Linked DNA regions of Drosophila melanogaster. Changing the gene in region 2 together with the main gene of any one other region gives a genetic interaction. Each region holds a gene or a part of one and is shown on either strand. Other genes may lie near its edges.

Region 1 (5,312 bases), on a different chromosome or scaffold from region 2:
TTATGGGAAGCAATTTGTTAAATTCTCACTGCTCGAGCATTTGAGTGGATTTCCTATGGGTAAACCGATGACATTGAAATAATAATTAATTGACACGCTTAAGTTCACTGAGATTGGGTATCCAATTAGAAAATGTAGGGTTTTCTGACAGGAACAATGTGTCAGTTGGTTTTAAAAAACCGGAATTTCGAGCTTATTTTCTGGTAGTTGTAAAATATTTGAGAAGTTTAATTGCATTTACCAAGTGCTTGGCAAAACAAAAATGTTTAATTAATTAAAATTGTGTGGCTTGCAATTTGTAATTTTTGATGAGTGCTTACAATTTCTTAATAAGACCAATGTTGTCGTTTCTATCTATATTTTAGGTTTGGAGCCTTTCAATATATATAGCCTATCTGAAGATAAGCGCCTCTTTAATATCCAAGAATATAGGAGGTAATGGAAGCTCAAAGAAGCTGGGGTCGGAAAAATCGAATTTTTGAAATTTGAAAGCTGGAATCGTTTGCCCATTTTTTGCCCATGTTTGCCCACCAATTAGTTTTTTTTGCCCACGTCCAGTTTTTGAGATATGAATTTTCGAAAAAGTTCGAAAATTTTCGAAAATCAAAAATTTCGCTTTTTTCAAATTTTTTTTTTTTAAATCGCAATAACATCGTTTGCCCACGTTTGCCCACCCTTTAGAATTTTGAAAAAATTTATACTTTAGAAAATATAAGGCTTTTAAGTTTACCTCGGTCTAATCAGAGAGTAAATCGTTTGCCCATCTCTTAAAACCAAATATTATCAACAAAAAACGTTTGCCCAACCATTATTATTAGTTTTTATCGTTTGCCCACCCTTTAAAAAACCTTTAACAAAAATTTTTTTTCGATTGCCCACACTTGAAATACAACTAATTTCGTTAGCCCACCTCTTCAAAATAAAACTTTTCAATAAAAAACGTTTTCCCACCATTTAAAAATAAATAATTTCGATTGCCCACCTTTTAAAACTAAATAATTTCGTTTGCCCATCCTTTAAAATTCATTTTTAACGTTTGCCCACCCTTTAAAATTTGTTTTTTTCGTTTGCCCACCTCTTAAAAATGGTTTTTTCGATTTTTCACCTATTAAAACTAAATTTGTACATATGTACATATGTAATAATTGTAAGATGTGGCGCCAAAAGCACAGTTACTTACAAAAGAACAGTTATTTACATATTTACATACATTTTCAATATATCCATAGTGTTAATCATTCATGAATTGTAACATCAATTTTTCTTAATCATTGTTTCATTTCATGGAAAATATTTTATTCCAGAATTTTCTTGAGCTTGGAGAGTGTTGATAAACATACATACATTTTTTTGCATATATATTATATTGCAATATAAAATATTTTCCATGAAATGAAACAATGATTAAGAAAAATTGATGTTACAATTCATGAATGATTAACACTATGGATATATTGAAAATGTATGTAAATATGTAAATAACTGTTCTTTTGTAAGTAACTGTGCTTTTGGCGCCACATCTTACAATTATTACATATGTACATATGTACAAATTTAGTTTTAATAGGTGAAAAATCGAAAAAACCATTTTTAAGAGGTGGGCAAACGAAAAAAACAAATTTTAAAGGGTGGGCAAACGTTAAAAATGAATTTTAAAGGATGGGCAAACGAAATTATTTAGTTTTAAAAGGTGGGCAATCGAAATTATTTATTTTTAAATGGTGGGAAAACGTTTTTTATTGAAAAGTTTTATTTTGAAGAGGTGGGCTAACGAAATTAGTTGTATTTCAAGTGTGGGCAATCGAAAAAAAATTTTTGTTAAAGGTTTTTTAAAGGGTGGGCAAACGATAAAAACTAATAATAATGGTTGGGCAAACGTTTTTTGTTGATAATATTTGGTTTTAAGAGATGGGCAAACGATTTACTCTCTGATTAGACCGAGGTAAACTTAAAAGCCTTATATTTTCTAAAGTATAAATTTTTTCAAAATTCTAAAGGGTGGGCAAACGTGGGCAAACGATGTTATTGCGATTTAAAAAAAAAAAATTTGAAAAAAGCGAAATTTTTGATTTTCGAAAATTTTCGAACTTTTTCGAAAATTCATATCTCAAAAACTGGACGTGGGCAAAAAAAACTAATTGGTGGGCAAACATGGGCAAAAAATGGGCAAACGATTCCAGCTTTCAAATTTCAAAAATTCGATTTTTCCGACCCCAGCTTCTTTGAGCTGGTAATGGACACCTTAATGATTCTGATCAAGCTAAACTACGAATTTGTTTTGATTTTTAGCTATAGGTATACATTCATACTCCTCAAACAAGCAGAACTATGTATTTGTTGCTTATAGGAACCCCCTGTTTTATCAATGAAATACGACTTCTTATCTGAAGATATAGCCCCTCTAAATCCAGGAAAAACTCACCCATAGCTCGGTGCCCCAACTCATGTTGTTGGAGTTTTGCGCTGAGTTTTCCGATTCGGCCAGTTTGTTGTTGCTGCTGCTTCTGCTCGATCCGCTTGCCACTGTATTTGTTGTTGCCGTCGTTGTTGTTGTTGTTTTAATAATAATAATCCACAGAAGATAATGTAATCCACAGACGATGAGGAGAGAGGGAGAAAGGTAGAAAGCGAGGGAGAAGAGCAAAAGATGAGAACTTTTATTCGTTTTTGTTTTATATTTTCCCGCAAAGGTTAATTAATTTTATGGCTGCTTTTTCGTTTTCATTTTCCGTTTGTTTTTCTATATTTTTTTCAGCGTTGCGCGGCGCGATGTTTAATTTTCTATGAAAGAGAGCAATTCGAGTCAGATATATTTCATTTTTGTTTTTTTTTTTTTCGGTGGTTGGGCAGGTAAGAAAGCATGTAAAAACAAAAAAGAGTGGCAATGCAGACGTGTCAGTTGCAGCGGCAGGTAGAAAAATGAAGTTGAAGGAAATTATAGATAATGAGAATTTAAACACTTTTTTTGGGAGTTGTTTAGTGATAAGTGCAAAATAAGAAAATTCTATGCACTGGCATTTCGATGCGCAAAGAGAGTGAGGAGAGAGAGGGAGCGATAGAGATAGAGAGCGATGCAACTGCATTTCATAATTGAGAAAAGCAGAAAGAGAGGACAATTGGAATTCTACTATTGTTGTATTTACATAATTTCGCACACACACGCACACAAGTAAACGCAATTGCCGAATGCACGCACTCTGCTTCTAGATCTGCCACCGTTTTTTTTTTTGTTATTTGTGCTAACTTTTTTTTTAGCATTTGCTTTGCAGTTGCAACTTCTTTCGATTTTGGGTTTTATTTAGCGCCTGCACTTTCGCATGCGTCATAATTCGGGCGACATTTGCACACACACACAAGCACACAGTTAAAACACCCGCACTCACACAACGCAAGCATTTGTTTCTCCTTTTTGGCGTGCGAAAAAACAATTTTATCCGCTCGCAACTTTCCGCTCGTTTTTTCACTTCGGCATCAATACACAGTGTGACCGCAATGTGTTTGAATAGGCACACCTCTGCGTTTGCAGTGTGACCAGAGACCGATGGCGACCTAATTTCTAACTCTTTAACATCTAGCGGGGATATGAACCCATATTGAGAGCAACTGTAAAGTTTAATTATTATTATATAAAATATATGAAACTTTCGTTAATACGTGCCCCCATTTTTTTTTATAATTTAACGTTAATTGTAGACTTTTTAAATATATTATTGTGGCCTTGAAAACTAATAATTTTATGGAATAACATAACGTTGAAACAGATGAAGAAAGCTATTATTGAGCTTGGAAGAAACTTCTTATTATTGTTTATTGCTTTTAAAGTAACAAGAGCATCGCTTATTGTTGTATATAATATATTAATTTGAACATTAAATTCACTGGAGCAATAGATTTTGGCACACTGTAAGGTGTAAGCATGTGCGCCAGGCGCTAGATCATTTTTAGTACTTTCCTTGCATCAGCTGTTAACACTATCAGCTGGTGGGTCAACAATTACATTAGATTTACTAACTTTTTAATGAATTAAAACTTGAGAGAAACAACGTTAATATAAGAAATTAAATTCCTTACCAGCTCATACAATTCACCGGTCACAATGCCTTCTTACGAACTAGCACTGGTGCTCCGCCAATTGCCTCGCGTGAGTAGCACATGAAATCCACCGGCAGTTACATAAAAGTAAATAAGAATTGTACACCGCCCGCAGCCCGAACTGATTTCCGTGATTAGGCGAACGGCCGAGTCCATCCTGGACAAGGGCGGCATTATCCGGAAGCTGGAGAACCTGGGATCCCGCGCCCTGCCCCACAAAGTCAGCGAACACGGGGTGGTTCACCGGGAAGGCACCCACTTCACCATCGCCTTTGATACGGCGCCCACTAAGATCGCAGACTTGAAGGAGGAGTTTGGCCGCGACATCGACATCATACGGCGCTACATCTTCAAGGTGGAGGAGCCCGAGCAGAAGCCCTGCACGCTGCACGAGGAGATGCTGCCACCCGCGTATCGCAAGGATGTGCAGGAGATCATTGCGGCCGCCCAGAAGAAGCAAAAGAAGAAGTTCAACTACAACTCCGGCCTGGACTACTATCCCTTCCAAAAATAAAACACCAAATAAAACGCGTTAATTATGTATGCTAAAACCGGTTGTGGGTTCCTCGATCTTTGGCTAATTCAAACTGAAGCATTCCTTATGAAATGCGCCTGTTATCTTAGTACTTTTCACAATGTTTGTCTTTGTTTGGTTTATGGCGCCCAATCGGACGCTTATCAATTAATTGATAAAGCTCCGTATAATCGACCATCAATAGAACGTAAATTGTCCAGGTAGTGCCTCAAGAATCGTCGAGCAGTTCACTAGTACTTCCTCCTGACCGCAAACGACCTAGAAATGTCACCGCAAATCCGTCCACTTACGCCAGAGCTGCAAAAAGTTGCCAAGGAGCAGCTCAAGGAGGATCCCGAACGTCTCGAAGCCGATCTGCAGGCGTTTAAGACATGGATCGAGCAGCAGCCGCATCTAAATCCCCGAATGGATGATCAGTTTCTGGTGGCTTTCTTGCGCGGCTGCAAGTACAGTTTGGAGCGGGCCAAGTCCAAGTTAGATAAGTACTACACGCTGAAGACCAAGTATCCGGACTATTTCCGAGTTACCAACACCACGGATAGCAAGTTCCGGGAGATTCATCAAACGGGGTAAGGATTTTGACGCCAGCTAACTAATTTAATTTATCAATGCAATTCTGTCAATTCAGTGCCATCATCTACCTGCCCACTCCGCTGAATGAAAATGGACCTCGCATCGGGATCTG
Region 2 (5,551 bases):
TTTGCCCACACACTGTATTTGGGGCCCAGCAGGATAATCCGCCGCACCATGCTCATGGTGGCTGCTGCCCGCCGCCTCTGTGCCTCTGTTCCGTCTACCGCTTCCTCCGCGCCCGCTGCAGTTGCTCCTGGACTCGGATTCCCCTGCGCCCCTGCTTTGCACCGATTTGCTACTCAGCTGGCGGCCGCTTCTTCTTCTTGCTCTGCTGATCTGCAAAGTTATTGTTGTGACTTCTGCTGGGGATGCCTCGCTTTGCAGGGATTGCTTTTCTATATCCACTTGTTGGTTATCCGTCGCTCGCCAAAGTGCGTCGCAATTTGGATGATTTTCCGCCTGCCTTGCTGTATTTTCGGTGGAAAATGGGGGGAATAGATTGCGCTCTGCACGTAATTTTTGTGGCTGTGTGCGTGCGTGTGATTCTCGTTGTTTTGGCTGCCCCACTCGCTCTGCTTCTTCTTGCCAAATCGGTCACTATACTGTATTAAAAGATCCACAAATTTCTAGGGTCTCCAGCATTATCTGATCCACTTTTTGTCTCTTGTAAGTACTCGGAAAATCTGGAAAAATCGCAGCAATCCAACTAAACGATTACGATATCAATCGATTGTTGTTATCGGTCTCAGCTGTTCGCCGTTCTTCTTCTTGCCAATCTTTGGTGAAGCCGCGCAACGCACAGTGGAACACAAAGTGACACAAAGTGGACAAAAACGAGGAGCCAAATAGTGTGGCTTGGAACTGGGAATTTAGCTGTCTACTGGAATTTTGACTGTGTCGAGGCCGGAAAAGTAAATTTCTAACACGAAAGTATAAAAACGTAAATTTCAGAAAGATCACTTTTTTTCTAAAGCATTCTGAGTTGAATTTCAACGTGGCATACATTTACACTACTTTACACTTAAGGGCTATAGTAAGCATAGTTAATAGCCGGGTATGATGCGACCCCTCTTGCTGGCCGTCTTTAGTTTCCGGTTCTTCTTGTCCTTGCTGCGCTTCTCCAGGTTCTCCTGTCGCTTCTTTTGCCTCTTTTCCTTGTCGTGCTCCACCTTCTGCTTGCGTTCAGTCCACTTGGTCTTGGACTTCTTCTTCTCCACGCGCCGCTTCTTGATGGCCTTTTGCAGCAGCTTGGTGTCGTCCTTGACCTTCTTGCCCTCGACCTTGTCGAATGCGTTGCGCCAGGCGATGTCCGTCTGGATCTCCGCCGCCTTGTCCGTTTCGCCCTGTTCGCGCAGTTCGGTTAGGTGCTTCTTGGTGTCGCGCAGCTTCTTCAGAATCTCCTTGGGGTTTTGGTGAGACTTCTTGGCTTTGCCTCCAGGATTGGCGGCAAAGTCCACCTTGGAGTAGACGATCTTGGCCTCCTGGTTGTAAACCGGTTGCACCTTGACCGGCTGGATCTGTTCCTTGCTGTCCTCCGTCTCCTGTTCTGATTTCACCACGCCATTCTTCAGTTTCTGGTGCTTGACGTTCTCGTTTTTGAGGTTTTTGGCCGAGGAGAGGAGCAGTTTCTGGACGCCCTTGCTGCGTTTAAGCTTTTTAGATTCGCGTCGCTTCTGCTGTCGCTCCGTTGTGGGTCCCTTTTTCTGGCGCAGCTTGTTCTTGATGGAGGCAATGCGTGCCTCTACATCCTCGTCGTCGGAGTCTTGGTTTTTCAGTTTTCCCTGTTGTTTCTTTTTCTTGTTTCCCGATTCCTCCGTGTCCGACAGCAGGTACTCTTCGTAGGTCTCCTCATCTGTAGGAAATACGATAAAGTTAAAGATTTAAGGCTTTTCATTAATGGTTTCACCTTCTTGTTTGGAGTAGGGCACTTTGTGAATGGTCAGCAGTTCCAAGACTCGCTGATAGAACTTTTTGGTGATGGCGGGCAGGTCCTCCTTCTCCGGCTTCTGATCCTTGTTGTGTTCGATTTCATACTCCTCCCGCAGACATTTCACGATCTCCGCCTGGGTCATTTTCGAGAGTAAAATAACAATAAAACTATTATTTACGCACGCACACGTGCAGCTAAGCAAGGCGGTCGAGTTCAGTGTGACCCCACAGAATTCGGGTGTTTTCGACAGTGGTTACCCTAGCGCAAATGTCTGGTACCGCTACAAGTAGTAAGGGGTATTCCCCTATTCAGCGAATTTAAGCAATGGTTTCAGATTAAAGGAGATTGAAATTTAATAAACATTAATTAACCATTGCTTAAATTCATAATTCTAGCCTAAGCTCTGAGAAATCTCAACAGGCATTTATCAAACAGTGTTACCAAATACGAACTTTCGAAAAAGGCGCTCTCCAGCCTTTTGTCATTTCCCAGCGCTCCCGCTGCGGTCACACCCGCCTCACTTTTCCGTAAAACATCGTTGAAGAATGACTAATTTGCCTGTTTTAAGTATTTACTCAATGCCCAGCTAATTGCACATCGCAAACAAACACACAGCAGTTCAGTTCAAGTTGGAGACGCGAGCGGCACCAGCGAATCAGCCAAGATGAAGAGGCAGTTTGCCAAAATCAAAATAGCAGCCGAAAATCTGTCAAGGTAAGTTCAAAGGCCAGCCAGTCTGTCGGTCGGATGTCTGTGGGTGTGTGTTTGTGTAAGTGCGCTCCAGGTGGACAGACAGGTGTGTGTTGCCTCATCACGAAAGAAGCAACAGCAGCAGCAGCAACAACAACAAAAGCAGCAGAGAAGCAGCCACAGAGCAACTGCATCAATAACAAAGCGCGATGACAGCCGTAACAATAGTGGACTGCCGATGATGACCTAACCCGTGCTAAACCCGTGTCAAAATGGTCCTTTTCGCATTCGCAGATCGAGCAAGTCGGACAGCAAGGACTCGGAGCTGGAGGCGATCGAGCGGCAGGTGGACAGATACCGGGACACCATCGAGAAGATCGTCCGCAAGCTGCCGGCGCTGAGCGGCGGAGGCGGAAGTGGAAGCGGGAGCAGCGAGGAGCAGGACAAGCGGACCAAGAAGAACAGTCACTACAAGATTGCCCAGGCTCTGGACGAGTCCGCCAAGGAGCTGCCCAAGGACATGCCGCTGCAGAAGGTCCTCGCCAATTGCGGTTAGTAATCGGGCAACCGGGATTTCCAGTGAGGCAGGCAGTTGCGTAGGCGGTCATTCGCCAGAGGGGGAAGTTACAGAATTTGTTCTTCATCAAGTGATTATATTGATATTGCTTTAGGTACCTAGCTTATCATAGTTTGTTAGCATGTTAGCTTAAACATCCATATGATGTTTCTTACAATCTGAAAATAGTTCCCAGCTGAGAGCCCCTCCTTGCAGCGGCAATCAGCCATGCCTACGGCCCTGGTGGGTGTCATGTTGTCGCTGCTGATAAGGCGCACAGTGGTTGTCGTTCGCTCCAAATCCGATAATCGCCGCCAGACATGCACAATGGCACACGAACACGAGTACGGGTTCGCAGGGGGCTTGGAGAACACACTACAGTGGATGACTGTGTCACGGGCTTCGGTTTGTCTGTGTGTATTGGCGGCCTCGCCTTGTCGCTTGGCCTTGTGGCATTTACATTTCTCAACTGCAAACGGCAACATCAACATCGACATCCACATCGACGGCGTTTTTTAATCATTATTATAATTTTTATTATGACTTTTTCGCCGCTTTCTTTCGCAGCCCGTTCGCCCGCAGTATTGGTATTGGTTATTATTTGCGGTTTCGGCATTGTCTATTTATACACCTTTTTGTTTTGCCAGCCAAGTTAGCCCGCCCCCATTGGCGCCCGTTTTTATTGCCCTGCTTCCATACAATTCACTGCCCGATTCACTATGCATTTCATTTAAATTTGTTACACATCGCGCGCGAAGTGGCATAACAAAGCCCGGTAAACGGCGATAATTATGCTAGCTGCTTGGCTAGCTGTGGCTAGTAAAAGTAAAAGTCTGGGCCAAATTCATACATCATCGTATCGTCATGATCTCTTCTTCGCTGTTCATTTATTATTATTTGGTGGGCGCTCCCCCTAGGTCGCATTACTCATTCCGAGTGTTATTTTTATTTGCCTGTATTATTTCCATTCGCTGTTTCCCCCTTTCAGGCACTCTGCATTCCACATATTCGCAGATGCGTGTGCGTCAATTGCAATTGCCAGTTCTGCCGCAGTTGCAGCGATTCAAGAGCATCTCGGTGGTTGTGTAACGGCCAGGGATCTGGAGAGCCCCCCCCCCCTTTTTTTTTTTAGTTCCCCACGTTCCTGATTAGACACGAACGCTTACACATGCAACTATCGCAGCCACAGTGAACGTGTGTCCGTGGGTTAAGTGGAAGCTCCATTCGAATGCTCGGGAAATCATAATTGGGTCAAGCTGCGGAAATCGATCGCCAAACGATGCAAACATTATTTTTGAAAGGGCTATAAAGCCTAGAGCATTGTCAGACTTTTCTATTCAAATGTTTGGCGAACTTTACGTCTGTTTATTTGCAAATGTTTCGGAAACCGAGCAATCGAAAGTACGTATTATAAAATCAAACTCGATTTCATTCGCTTATCTTCATTTTCTAATTTTAACTAAAAAATTCGAGAGACGCTTCAACTTTAACAGTAGACACCTCATTATAGTGAGATATGTCATTGTAATTTACATTTACAACTTAATTTCTTTGGTAAATAATATATCAATGTTTAATTGCGAGCATAGCAACTTAAATGTTAGGCAACAAGTTGTAGCTGCCAAGCTCCAGACCCACGAAAACACAAAATTACCGCACCGAAATTAGCTTTTTGTCGCCAGTGTTATGTCGGTAATTGCGGTGAGATATCATCGCACTTTAACCCACTGTGCGCCCTTTGCAACTCTTATTGTTAGCCACGATGCGCTTCAATTCAAGCCATTCAGCAAGGGGAGCTAGAAGCGAGCGTATCTCGAATGTAACACTCCAGTGCCGACGTCGTCTTCGCTTTGGACTCCGTCTCCGACACCCTCTTCCTCTGCAACTGCCTATGCTTTCTGTGGTGCGACCTTTTTGCCTCCACTATGCCTCCATGGCGGGTTCAGCTGCTGAGGCTTGAGTCTCGGGGCACTCAACACAATTATCACAATTTTGCTTACTCAGCTCGTCATCCTATTCGCCGGGCAATTCCCCCACGGATTGGCCCAATCTCGCCCCGCATCTAAGCGGAGCTACTCCAGCAACTGAAAACCAACCAGCACGCCAACATCTTCGCAGCTACCGCCAGGCGATAAGGTCTTAAATAAGCAGTGACTTCCTCACTTGCGGGTGGAATGGAATGTAATAGTTGGGAATGGCAAGAGGCTGCGTGATACACACAGCAAACTATTTCCATTTACTTTATGATTGATAAAGCTAGCAAATAATGATAGTAGTTTCTATTTCCTTTAGAAGTTAGATTCGCTTGTACTTGTCTTAGATTAGAGAGTTTTGGGGCAGCAAATTTAAAATTCGATATCCGATGACAAAGAAAGTGGTAATACCGCTTTATGTAAAGGATAGCGACTTATCTTTTTATCTATTACTAATTTCTGCTTATTTCTACTTATTTTCTGTGCATTTATTGTGGGGGCAGATAGGTGTAGGCTTTGCAGCTTCAT

Evidence for each region.
Region 1: of RhoGAP92B (region 2) and Cip4, changing one suppresses a phenotype caused by changing the other (phenotypic suppression), as found in Drosophila melanogaster (one study listed by BioGRID).

Annotation. Positions count from the first base shown.
Region 1 is NT_037436.4:4,360,605-4,365,916, forward strand, and holds the start of Cip4 (Cdc42-interacting protein 4), read right to left. Parts: upstream 3,371-5,312; 5' UTR 3,259-3,370; coding exon 3,144-3,258; intron 2,524-3,143; coding exon 2,423-2,523; intron 1-2,422. Other genes in the region: mRpS6 (mitochondrial ribosomal protein S6), read left to right, coding at 4,097-4,141, 4,208-4,606; CG33514 (uncharacterized protein), read left to right, coding at 4,892-5,196, 5,256-5,312.
Region 2 is NT_033777.3:19,902,843-19,908,393, forward strand, and holds the start of RhoGAP92B (Rho GTPase activating protein at 92B), read left to right. Parts: upstream 1-2,321; 5' UTR 2,322-2,468; coding exon 2,469-2,518; intron 2,519-2,606; exon of another isoform or gene 2,607-2,788; coding exon 2,789-3,045; intron 3,046-4,838; exon of another isoform or gene 4,839-5,249; intron 5,250-5,551. Other genes in the region: ClpX (caseinolytic protease chaperone subunit), read right to left, coding at 1-56; Surf6 (surfeit 6), read right to left, coding at 918-1,726, 1,781-1,946. UniProt on the Drosophila melanogaster protein: GTPase activator for the Rho-type GTPases by converting them to an inactive GDP-bound state.